Mus musculus: one gene and its partners. The protein of the gene in region 1 binds, or shares a complex with, the protein of each later gene. Links are inferred from orthologs where the notes say so. Each region holds a gene or a part of one and is shown on either strand. Other genes may lie near its edges.

Region 1 (3,984 bases):
ATTTTTGGCACAGACACATTTTTGGGTTGATTAGCACGAAAAGTGTGTGACATCCTGGCTGAGAGGCCTGTCACAGGCACAGTCATGGCACTGTTTTTTTTTTTTTTTTCTTTTGCTTTTCGAGACAGGGTTTCTCTGTATAGCCCTGGCTGTCCTGGAACTCACTCTGTAGACCAGGCTGGCCTCGAACTCAGAGATCCACCTGCCTCTGCCTTCTGAGTGCTGGGATTAAAGGCGTGGGCCACCACGCCCGGCAGGTGATAACTTTTGTCATGGATCTAGCTATCCGGTACAGTCTGCTTAGAAGCCAAGAGACCAAACTTTGGAACCAGGCAGACCCTGACTGAGTTGAGTCTTCTGGTTTCCACCATGTGACCTTCTGGAGTGTCTGTTCTCACATGAAGAATCTGGGTCATGATATAACTTTCCTCACAGGATTAGGTGCACGCACCCTCTGGGTACCAAGGCACATGGAGCACTTCTCAGAGAACCATCCTGGGACAGTCAGCTCTTCAAGTGCAAGGATGGGGACCAGACTTTTAGTTATGTGACATTATTTCATAAGTTTATTTTTCCCTTGTCATTGGAACTTGGGTGAGTTTTTATTAGATTTGTTGTAGTTGGGGTCCTTGTTTCCCACCAACTTAGTGCCAGTAGTCCACTGCTGTGACCATTGCTTAGTTAAAATCTTGTTGGTAACCTCGAGCTAGCGTTTAGGAAAACAAAAACTCACCGTGAAATGGATTCAAACATTACCTGTGGCACCAAAAACAGGGGAAATTCTTGTAAAAATGAGGTCAGGAAGGACCGCCATTCCAGCCCACAATGAACACGCACCATAGAGACATTTCCCTAAGCTTAAACTCACAACTCCAGGTCTAAATGGGTGGTTGGACCCGCGTCCGGTATTCGGTATTCCTGTGGGTTCCAGCCCTGACTGTTCACATTCCTCAGATACCCACTTTAGGTTTAATCACAGTCGCTCCCCGAGACCAGTCCTGGTAACTTGAGAGGAATTTGCATTTCCACCGACCTTCCCGGACACGCGGCAGGGGCAGGGGCTACGCCAGCGCAGCTACGCAGCTGGGGAGGGCGTGGAGCCTTCCCTTGGCCTGGAAGGGGTTAAGGGACGGCTGGGGCGGGGCGCTGGGCCCTTTGTTACCGGCCTAGGCGGGAGGCGGGAGGCGGGACGCGGGCCTGGGCGCGGGCCTGCTGGGAGCGCGGCCTGGCGGGGCTGGGGGCCCGGGGTGGTGGGGCCTTCGCCGTGGCCACGGGACCATGTTGGAGATCTGTTTGAAGTTGGTGGGCTGCAAATCCAAGAAGGGGCTCTCTTCGTCCTCCAGCTGCTACCTGGAAGGTAAATCCTGGCCTGGGCGCGGGGCCCACCAGGACTGTCCTGCCCGCCCGTGCCCTGTGTGTTCTAGGTCCCCAGTCTTCTCCCTCTGAGGCCTCTGCGGGTGCTGGTGGCTCATTCGGACTTCCAGAAAGAGAGAGAGAGCCGCGGCTTTGGCGCTGGCGGGGCCCAAGCGCATAGTGTGGCTCCTGCCCAGAAAGTTTGAAAAAGTCAGTGCCACAGGCCTTAAGGTCCTTGTGAGCCCACGTTGTGGTGTTTCCACTGCCAACTGGGAATTGTATGTCACAAAGGTGGACCTACACCAAGTGCCGCGTACAAAGGGATCCCGCTCTACCATTTATGGGTACAGAATTTCATGTGAACTTTCCACCCCCACCCCCACCTTTCTGCAGACCATGAAGAGGTCTTGGGGATTGTCTCTTTTTAGAAGAGAAAGAATGGTTTTGCTTGTATTTCCAGGAGTTTTGAGAGCTTCCAGTTTGATGCTTGGTGAGGGAGCCCCTCATGTTTTGTTCTTTGCATAAACTTAGAGCCAGGAGCCTGTTGCTTTTGCCTGCTTTACCCTGCTCCTCCAATTCCATGCCTCCTTCCTGTTGTCTTTAGTGTTTGGGTCTAAAAGGATGGCAAGGGAAAAGGGTGAGTGGTGAGTGCTGGGGACTCGGCTGTGGCCAGGCCTGTTAGAGTATAGCTGACCTTTGTGGGGACTGCTGCCTTCTTCAGAAGGGCAGAAGCACTCACAGATGTGTGGTGCCCTGGCTTTTCTGGCTGTTTCATGTAAGAGTTAAGATAGGAGTAAAAATGTAAAGTTTTCTTCAGAGCAATTTGGATTTCTACTGTTTTGAATTGTAAAGAATTGAAGGCTTTTCAATATCTAACCTGCTTCCCCGACCCCCCTTCCAAGTCTTTGACTCAAAGACCTACAGGGCCCCACATGACCCAGCTCAGACTTAGGTGCCCAGCTCGGGTAGAGGATGTTCTCCCTTTGCTAGAAGGGAGTATAAGGGACTTCGCTATAAGTCACAGTAAGATTTCAGCCCCTCCGGGGATTTCAGGGCCTGGATTCCTGAGAGGAGCTTGGTGTGGATGGCATGAGCTCAGGGCCTACCACTTAGAGGGAGGGAGATGGTTTATTTGTCCCCAGAGTTGGCATCTGAGCGGCCAGAATCATCCTCAGTTAATGCGTTGCTTATTTTTTCCAAGTTGCTCCACACTCTCCGCACATTTCTCCTCCCCATCTGTATCCAGTTAGTGAGAGGCACTATCTCCATTTTGAGCCGCTGGAGGCGGAGATGAATGGACTTTTGTAACTGCAGAGTTGGGGCATGTCACAGCTTTGCTAAGGTATCAGCTTGTTCCTGGGGTAATGTGGGATTTAGTGCAGAGCTGTTGGTTTAATTCTTGTTTTAGAAGGGGGAAAAAATCCATTCTTATTCCAGCATAATCCTTAAGGTGAATTCTAGCATTGCCAAGTTCCAAAGGAGTGCTGTCCTCACTTGGGTTTTGTAGGCCTTCTCCAGGAAGGTGTCTCTCTAGGAGCTCTTTCTGTTCACTGAGTTCAAAAAGGTAGACGGAATTCTTGTTGTGTAGCTGACGGAATCAAGCTAGCCTCGGTGTAATTATGTCTTGAAGACGGAAGTGCTGTCTGTCTCTGGGGAAGAGAGCTGTTGCCAGAATCTGGGGAAGTAATCTGGGCCTTCATTTCTTGCTTACATCCTAAATCAATCAATCAGTTCATGACACCCACCCAGAGGCCTGGGCCTCACAGGCCAGGAAGAGAATTGAGTATGGTGAATTTTCCATTATTACCAAATGCATGCTCCCTGCTGCTGTGCAGAGAAGGCCTGGTCAGCACAGACAGCAGCAGCAGTTAGATGGCCTTAGTGGGCCAAGCATTGTCTGCATTCCACATGCCCTCACTTTCTGACTTCTTATGGTGGCCCTGATTATCTCATCTTGTAGATAAGAAACTGAGGCACCAAAAAAGGTTAGGTGACATCTCTGAGATGACAGAATCAGCAGGTGGTAGTCCCAGGATTTGAACTTGTGCTATCTGGCTCCAGGGAATTGCACAGAGAGAGAGAAAGGGGGAGAGGGGGTGGAGAGAGAGAGAGAGAGGGAGGGAGGGAGAGAGAGAGAGAGAGAGAGAGAGAGAGAGAGAGAGAGAGAGAGAGAATGAATGTTGGGTATTGGAAGCCAGGGCCTTGAACTACACCCATAGGCCCTTGCCAACTTTTGAATTTTGAGACGGACTTGCCAAGTTGTCCAGTCAGGCTGTGAACTCAATAATCTGTAAACGTAAAGAGACAGGCTTTGCACTTGGCATTTTCTTGCCTCAGCCTGCTGAGCACCTAGGATTTCAGGCTTGCACCCCAGCACCTGGCCCAGAAAGCCCATTCTTAGCCTGTCTGTGCTAATAATGGATCATTGGTCTGCCGTGGCATTGTTCTCCCGTGGAAAACACTATGGATCATTCAATACTGTCTTTAGAAATGCCCAGCTAGGGCCTAAACTGTACCAGTCTTTTCCTTTCTGCATCAGGTAATAGTAATACACCTGCTTTCATAAAGCAACAGGACCAGGAACATTTTTTAAGCAAACATAAAAATACTTGTAAGAAAATTCTGAAAGAG
Region 2 (4,097 bases), on another chromosome or scaffold:
GCTGCTAGTTCCTGGTGACTAAGCTAGATCAAGATGAGTCACTGGTAACAAGGAAGGGGCCCTTTTCCCTGCTGTCTCTCCCAGGGCTGGCCCAGACTATGGGTGGGAGCTCTGGAAGGCCGGAGCTATTGACTAGGCTAAGGATAACTTTGGTTTTGTAGTGAGACCGGGTCTCACTATATACAAAACACAGTAGTAACAGCTATGCAATGGTGGCACACACCTTTAATCCCAGCACTGGGAGGCAGAGGCAGGTGGATCTTTGGGTTCGAGGTCAGCCTGGTCTATAAAGTGAATTCCAGGATAGCAAGAGCTATACAGAGAAACCCTTCCCTCCCCCATTTTTTTATTAATTTTTTGAGATAGATGAAGATGATCATGAAGGAAGTAAAAGTAGGAGATACACCTGGCTACAACTGAGAGTTTAAAAAAAAATCTGGCTGGTGGATATGGGAGCCCCAATAGAGAGAACTCCATTTTTTTTTTTTTTTTTTTTTGGCCTGGCTGGGCATTTTGTTTTCTTTGCCTTGAGTACCCTTCCCCACTTCATTTAACATCCTACCATTCACCCTAGGTCATCTTATCTGTGGACCCCTTCCTCTTATTTGTTTTGGTTTTATAATACAGGGCCTCAGACTCACAGGGATCCTCCTGTCTCAACTCCTGAGAGGTTGGGATAACTGTCATGAGTCACTTTACCCAGCCCTTGGGTCTCTCCAGGACTACTTAGTTGATTTCCTTGTGTTTCTGCCCCCCCCCCGCCCCCATAGCAGATGTTGTTTCCTGGTCCCTCCCATAGGTGTGTGAATTCAGTGACTTAAAGCCAGTCTGGGTCAGCACTGCACCTGCGCGGCAAATGCGGTATCTGTGGCTGCTCATAGATAACAAGAACTTCAGCTGACCTCGGGGGAAACCGAAGGAAACACGGGGAAAAGACCAGCAAGTCAGGGAGCTTTGAGGGCGACTATCATCCTCGGACCACATCATCTTTTTTAACTTCAGTCCTTTTCTTGGTGTTGCTACTTGTAGGTTCTGGGAGAAAAGACCGGCCGCTACCAATCTGTCAAACACGGATCAGTCAATTTGTAGGTTGAGGCTCCGCCCCTTAGACCTAGACTCCGCCTCCCCATCCTCCGCGGTTGGGGTCTGGGCCTGGCGGCGACGCCCAGGACGCCGCATGCGCACTGAGGGCCCCAAGGACTCCGTTTCCCTTCTCCCAATGGCGGGCGTCGGTCCCCTTCCCGGCAGCCTCCCTCGGGTAGAGGGCGCGTCATTTCCGGTGGGGAAGGCCCGCGGCCGCCGCCGCCATTTCGGGCGCTGCTGGGAGGCTGACACCGGAGCCGGTCCGCTGGGCGGCGGGCGCCAGGGCTGGAGGGGCGCGCGTGCCGGCGGCGGCCCAGCGTGAAAGCGCGGAGGCGGCCATGGCGGGCAACTTCGACTCGGAGGAGCGGAGTAGCTGGTACTGGGGCCGCCTGAGCCGGCAGGAGGCGGTGGCGCTATTGCAGGGCCAGCGGCACGGGGTGTTCCTGGTGCGGGACTCGAGCACCAGCCCCGGGGACTATGTGCTTAGCGTCTCCGAAAACTCGCGCGTCTCCCACTACATCATCAACAGCAGCGGCCCGCGCCCTCCAGTGCCTCCGTCGCCCGCTCAGCCTCCGCCGGGTGAGGGACAGGCGGGTGGGAGGCCCGGGCGGGGGTGAGGGCCGTAGAACCCTGGTCTGCTGCAGGAGGGACGTGGGCAGAGAGGGCTAGAGTGAACCTGGCGGGGGAGCTGTCTTCTGAGCAAGCTGGTTCCCACCGATGAGCGGGATTGTGGGGGAGGAGGAGCTGCTCACCGAGGCCTCTGGGTGTGCCTTGGGAGCCGGGGAAGGGGAACTGCTGCGGCCCCGGGGTGGGGCTGGGCGCCAGGGTCAGGCCCAAGGGCAGGGCAGGGCTAGGCAACTTGGGGACAATGAGTTAATGGGGATGTTACGGGGACATCATTTGGCAGTGGTACTCAGAATGGCTCTGCTAATCCTACAAGTGGCTTTTAGGCTTGAAACGTTTCCTGCAGTGTTAGAGCCGGGTTTGGCCATACTCCCCTGGTGGCCTTCGGTAGGAAGTCACCACGTACTGACTGGCTGGCTGGGAGGGATGGAGACACCCTCAGGAAGCCGGTCAGCTTTTTCCTTTCTTGGGCATTTTTCCAAAATATCTTTACCGTGCTCTTCCCTTGTGGAAGGTGGTGAACTAAGTGACTTGGTGATAGAAAAAAAATCCTTCTGTGACCAGCCCCGCGTAATTGAAGCCTAGCAGGCAAATTGTGTCCAAGAGGTTTTAAGTGTCCAAAAAAACTGCCCGCTGCAACTAGAGTTTCTAGTTTCAAAGTGATTAGTGGAGGAAGATTTTTTTCCTTTAGAAAACAAACAAACAAACAAACAAACAGGCATAAGCCAGTGAGAACAACCTTGGAAGTGAATGGCACTTCATTCTCCCTGGATTTACTTAAAAAGTGTCAGACACGTACTTCTGGGTCTTTTCTTGCTCTCTAAGTTGGTGTTGTGGTCAAAATCTTCCAGGATATGAGAACAGACCTGGCTAGCAGATAAACACCAAGAATAATTATCCCACTGTTTCCTCGTCAAGGACCATTGAGTTTTAACTGTCTTAGCTGTCTTATTGCAGTTGTCTTGGCAATGTTAAGGGAATTCATGCACTTAGCCCTTGACGTTTATGAGATGAACAGTGATTCTGAGATTTCTGTTGTCTCTGTGTATAACAGCACCAAGCTTCTTGCTTTCTGGATGTTTGAAGTGTAAGCTTTTTCCTTCTAGAGCTGAGCTAGTCTCATGAATGGAGACTCACTGGTTAGCCTTGTAGCAGACTTGCATTTTTGGGATAGCTCTAATTTAGATTTACTCCCTTTGGCCACAAAGTGGGATTCGACGGTTCTTTGTGTTAGCACACAAGTTAAGGGGAAAATTTGAGTATTGAAGTCTTTTTAGTTAACAGATATAGACCTTTCTACGTCTTGTTGTTTTTTTTTTTTTTAAGATTTATTTATTATATGTAAGTACACTGTAGCTGTCTTCAGACACACCAGAAGAGGGTATCAGATCTCATTACAGATGGTTGGAAGCCACCATGTGGTTGCTGGGATTTGAACTCAGGACCTCTGGAAGAGCAGTCAGTGCTCTTAACCATCTCCAGCCCCTTGTTGGTTTGATAATATAAAATCAGATAGGAATATTAATGCAACACAATTGCCCTAAACAAAGTAAATTCTATATTTGTGCTATCTGTAAAATAATCTATTGTTTTGTGCTAAGTGCAATAGTAAGATGAAATAGTAAGATGAAATTCAATTCTCATCCAGATTTCATAGTTCATGCTTCTAATCTTGGCACCTAGGAGGCTGGTGCAAGAAGATTTTTAAAAGTTCCAGGCCATCCTGGGAAACTTAGAAAGACTGCCTCAAAGTAAAAGTTATGTGAAGGGTTGTGACTGGGGATCTAGTTGAGTGGTAGTTTATTTGCCTGGCATTTGGGCAGGCTAGGTTTTATTCCCAATAGTTGGGGGTGAGGGATTCAGTCCTCTGCTTTCTCTGTATTTTATTAGAAAATGTGGGAAAAGCATTAGGCAGGCTTATTAGTTTAATAGTTCTCTATACCTGGGCATTGTGGTTTTATATCTCAGTAGCTCCACCTTTTCAAAATAGGTGGTTGGCCTCAAAGAGGAGAAGATTGCCAGTTTGTGGGTTAGGTGTGGAAAGTTCATTGGCTTTGTGGCAATTTGTTCTGTCACGTTCCCCAATTTCTCTATAGGTCAGTCAGTTCACTTGCTAGTTTTTGTTGTTGTTGTTTGTTTGTTTGTTTTTTGTTTGTTCGAGACAGGGTTTCTCTGTGTAGCTCTGGCTGTCCTGGAACTCACTTTGTAGACCAGGCTGGCCTCGAACTCAGAAATCCATCTGCCTCTGCCTCCCAAGTGCTGGAATTAAAGGCATGCGCCACCACTGCCCAGCTGCTTGCTGTCTTTATGATGGTTACTTAATCGCTGTCCTTCTCCCCATTAAGCTGGTTTTCTTTTGAAGCCACACAGGAATTACTTGAGTTTTAGAG
Region 3 (3,550 bases), on another chromosome or scaffold:
CTTAGGCTGCCCAAGACCTTCCCCTGCCTTGTTTCAGGTGCCCTCAAGTCCTATCTCCGGGAGCTGCCGGAGCCCCTGATGACCTCTGACCTCTACGATGACTGGATGAGAGCAGCCAGGTGAGGAGGTGGTGGGGTGGGGAGGGGAGCGAAAGCTCTGGAAACATGGTCCTGGATTGGTGCATTGATGATTGTCCCTCCTCAGCCTGAAGGAGCCAGGAGCCCGCCTGGAAGCCCTCCATGATGTTTGCAGCCGTCTACCCCAAGAGAACTTCAACAACCTCAGGTGAGCCTTGCCCCCGCCTCCACCCCCACCAACACACAAACAAAGCTTAGGGGTTCGCTTTATGCTGTGCACAGAACCTTAGCTGTGATGTCCTGTTCCTGTCTTTTACACTAGACCAGATACCAGAGCAGACAAACCCAATCATGTGCAGTAGCTCATGCCTACCGTGCCAGCACTCTGGAGGCAGAGGCAGGTGGATCTCTGAGTTCAAGGCTAGCCAGATCTATAGAGTGAGTTCCAGGATAGCCAGGGCTATACAAACTCTGCCTTGAAAAAAAAACAAAAAAGGAAGAAACCCTGGTTTTGGTCCTCAGCAGGCCGTGAACTGGTGCATCCCTGCAGTCACACAGGCATGAGGATCAGAGCTTCAGGCTCATCCTTGGCTCTATAGAGTTCGAGGCCAAGCTGGGCTATGAGACTTTGTCTTAAAAAACAAGCAGAAACCCCTACTGAGCCTGTGAATCCATATTACCTGGCTGCAGACCCAGACCCCTGCCATTCTGGGACCCTGGGCAGGCAGTTCTCTGGCTCAAAAAAACAGATCGGGGGAAACTTCACTAGTAAAAATGTAATCATGCTGAGTGGTAAAAATGTAATCAATCATGCTGAGTGATAAAAATGTAACCATGCCGAGTGCAGCCCTAGGGTAGGGAGTTCGTGGGCCTTTAAGGACGCCGTGAGCATTTGTGATGCTCTCCCACCCCACCCAGGTACCTGATGAAGTTCCTGGCTCTGCTGGCAGAGGAGCAGGATGTAAACAAGATGACACCCAGCAACATCGCCATTGTCCTAGGACCCAACCTGCTGTGGCCTCCCGAGAAAGAAGGGTGAGGGCCATGAGTCCAGGGAGCCTGTCCCCAGCTAGTCCCCAGCTGCTGATTTGCCCAGACCTCCGTTCTCTGTCCTTGCAGTGGGCTGAGTAGTTCTTAAATCTGAAGCTCCCATGAGGAGCAGCCTGAGGGACCAGGGTAAAGTGAGGGGGCGGGCACATGTGTGGTGACCTGGTGCAGGTACTCAAAACCACCACTGAGGAGTGATTGAAGCCTCACTCTCAACCTTCAGGTGTGGGCCTTGGAGAGTCACTTCCGCATCTGTCAGTTGGGGAGACACGATATAAATTCTAAGGGGGAGGGGGTAGGTGTTACTTTAGGAATTAGATGGGAAATGGTTTACAAACTGTGAAGTTCAATGATACATGAAAAGTCACCCCTACTTTTCAGGCCACAGATGTACAACGAGGATCCCATGTGCTGAATTGTAATTGTTTGGGGGCAGGGGGAGAGGCAGTCAATCCAAGACCTGGGAAAAACGATAGCCCAGAATCGATTAGTGATATCTGTCATAGGTGAAGGAATGGGAGATGGGGTATGTGAGCTACACGCGTGCCATCAACCACGCCCAGCAGGGTCGCACAATGTTAGTGTGTCACTAAAACTCTTGCTTCTCTTTTGTGCCAGGGACCAGGCCCAACTGGACGCTGCCTCTGTGTCCTCCATTCAGGTGGTGGGTGTTGTCGAGGCGCTGATACAGAACGCAGACACCCTCTTCCCTGGAGGTGATGTCCTTTATTGTCATCTCTAGTCCCCACTTCCACCAACTCCTGGACTACAGCCCAGCCTCAGTCCTTGATTGCCCCCAAAACTCTCCATGTGGCTTAGAGGAAACTGTTTTTTCTATACTGAGCCTCAGTTTCTCATCTGTGAAATGAGAACGGTTCTGTCTTACCCATGGAAAAAGGAAGCAAAGAGAAGTCCCATCCTTTCAGGGAAAGAGAGTAGCCCTGGCTCTGGCCAGGCCAGGCAGGCTTGGCCAAGGCTCTGAACTTGACCCCTGTTCATACCATCTCTAGATATCAACTTCAATGTATCAGGCATCTTCCCAGGCCTGGCCCCCCAGGAGAAGGTCAGTAGCCAACAGGTCTCAGAGGAGTTGCCACCTGTTACTGTGCCTGCCCCAGCCACGACCCCAGCTCCCACCCCGGCTCCAGCCTCAATGGCTGTCAGAGAAAGGTAAGAGCTTAAACATCGTGAATAATCTACTCCTGGCCTGGGGCGTTCTCTCTGAGGATTTAGGAATGCAATCTGCGCTATTTGTCCTGTAGATCAGGTCCCACAGGTTGGAGTAGGCGGGAGGAGCCTGCTCTCAGCCTTAAACGTGTTCCTTTCTGTATTGTACAGCTATTTCTACAGCACCTACTATGTGCCCCAGGCATTGTTCATTTCCTGAGAATTTAGAGAATTGGGAGGGGACAGTGGGATTTACAACTATCCTGTCTCCAATCCTGTAAGTCTGAAAGGTTTTGTGGCAGACGGGTGTTTCTCAGTGGCCCACAACCATGGCTGTCTGTGGACTTCCTCAGATGAGGCGGGTATATGCCACCCTCAACCCCTGCCTTGGGTGAGGCAGGGAGAATGGCCATGTCCCATCTACATTCCTGTGATGTCAGGATGCGCTGTGCTGGAGGGTTAAGCATTATATGGGCAGCGTAGAGGGCTCTACCAGCTGGGGAGGAAAGGAAGGCCTCTCTGGGGAAATGGCCAAATGGAAGTTTAGGAAGCCAGACTCTCTCAACGGCTGCTCACAAACTCTCTGACTTGTGTTGGCAGAACATCTACAGATCCCATGGGGGTGTAAGGGTGTAGTTCAACTGGTTGCCTAGCACATGGGAAGGCTGGGTTCTAGCCCCAGCATGACAGGAAATGGGTGTGATGGCACTTATCTGCACTGGAGAGGTGGAAGCAGAAGGATCAGGAGTTCAGTATCGTCGTTCCCTACGTCGAAACTTCAAGGCCAGCCTAGGCTTTGTGAGAATGAGACGGTCTCAAAAAAGAAAAAAGATCACCTGGAAAGGCCAGGCAGAGGCTTGCTTCCCGCCTCTTTGGGACCGCCCCACAGGTTATATCCCAAGCCTAGGCTTTCTACTAATTTACTCCCTGTTGCTCTGATAAACACTGTGACCAAAACAACTTGGGAGGGAAAGGGTTGGCTTATACTTTACGTAGCAGTCAATCAGGGAGGCAGGGTCACAAGCAGAAGCAGAGGCCAGAGCCCTGGAGGTCGTCTGCCCTGGCTGGTCCTCAGCCAGCTTTCTTATACAACATAGGATGGTTGTCTGAAAACAGTGTGGCCCACGGTGAGCTGGGTCCTCTCACATCAATCAGCAGGGCAGTCAAGACAGTCCCACATCAATAGTGTCCACACACACACACACACACACTGACATAGCCTCAGGCCAGTCTGATGTGGATGATCCCTCAGTCGAGAC

The links.
Region 2: the proteins of Abl1 (region 1) and Crk are in contact, whole or in part, in an NMR structure (PDB 1JU5), measured with the Homo sapiens proteins. The link is inferred for Mus musculus from reciprocal best matches to the Homo sapiens genes ABL1 and CRK. Residues at the interface, in NP_005148.2 of Homo sapiens: Tyr70, Phe72, Asp77, Asn78, Thr79, Asn94, His95, Asn96, Gly97, Glu98, Trp99, Trp110, Pro112, Ser113, Asn114, Tyr115; in NP_058431.2 of Homo sapiens: Pro44, Asp46, Asn63, Gly66, Pro67, Arg68, Pro69, Pro70, Val71, Pro72, Pro73, Ser74, Pro75, Pro80, Gly81, Ser83, Pro84, Ser85.
Region 3: the proteins of Abl1 (region 1) and Sh3bp1 are in contact, whole or in part, in a crystal structure (PDB 1ABO), measured with the Mus musculus proteins. Residues at the interface, in NP_033724.2 of Mus musculus: Tyr70, Phe72, Ser75, Gly76, Asp77, Thr79, Asn94, Glu98, Trp99, Trp110, Pro112, Asn114, Tyr115; in NP_001303613.1 of Mus musculus: Ala607, Pro608, Thr609, Met610, Pro611, Pro612, Pro613, Leu614, Pro615, Pro616.

The regions. Positions count from the first base shown.
Region 1 is NC_000068.7:31,758,759-31,762,742, forward strand, and holds the start of Abl1 (tyrosine-protein kinase ABL1), read left to right. Parts: upstream 1-1,180; 5' UTR 1,181-1,278; coding exon 1,279-1,357; intron 1,358-1,414; exon of another isoform or gene 1,415-1,633; coding exon of another isoform or gene 1,634-1,697; intron 1,698-3,984. UniProt on the Homo sapiens protein: Non-receptor tyrosine-protein kinase that plays a role in many key processes linked to cell growth and survival such as cytoskeleton remodeling in response to extracellular stimuli, cell motility and adhesion, receptor endocytosis, autophagy, DNA damage response and apoptosis.
Region 2 is NC_000077.6:75,678,003-75,682,099, forward strand, and holds the start of Crk (adapter molecule crk), read left to right. Parts: upstream 1-1,256; 5' UTR 1,257-1,421; coding exon 1,422-1,662; intron 1,663-4,097. UniProt on the Homo sapiens protein: Involved in cell branching and adhesion mediated by BCAR1-CRK-RAPGEF1 signaling and activation of RAP1.
Region 3 is NC_000081.6:78,906,219-78,909,768, forward strand, and holds part of Sh3bp1 (SH3 domain-binding protein 1), read left to right. Parts: intron 1-37; coding exon 38-119; intron 120-204; coding exon 205-285; intron 286-995; coding exon 996-1,112; intron 1,113-1,742; coding exon 1,743-1,840; intron 1,841-2,134; coding exon 2,135-2,294; intron 2,295-3,550. UniProt on the Homo sapiens protein: GTPase activating protein (GAP) which specifically converts GTP-bound Rho-type GTPases including RAC1 and CDC42 in their inactive GDP-bound form.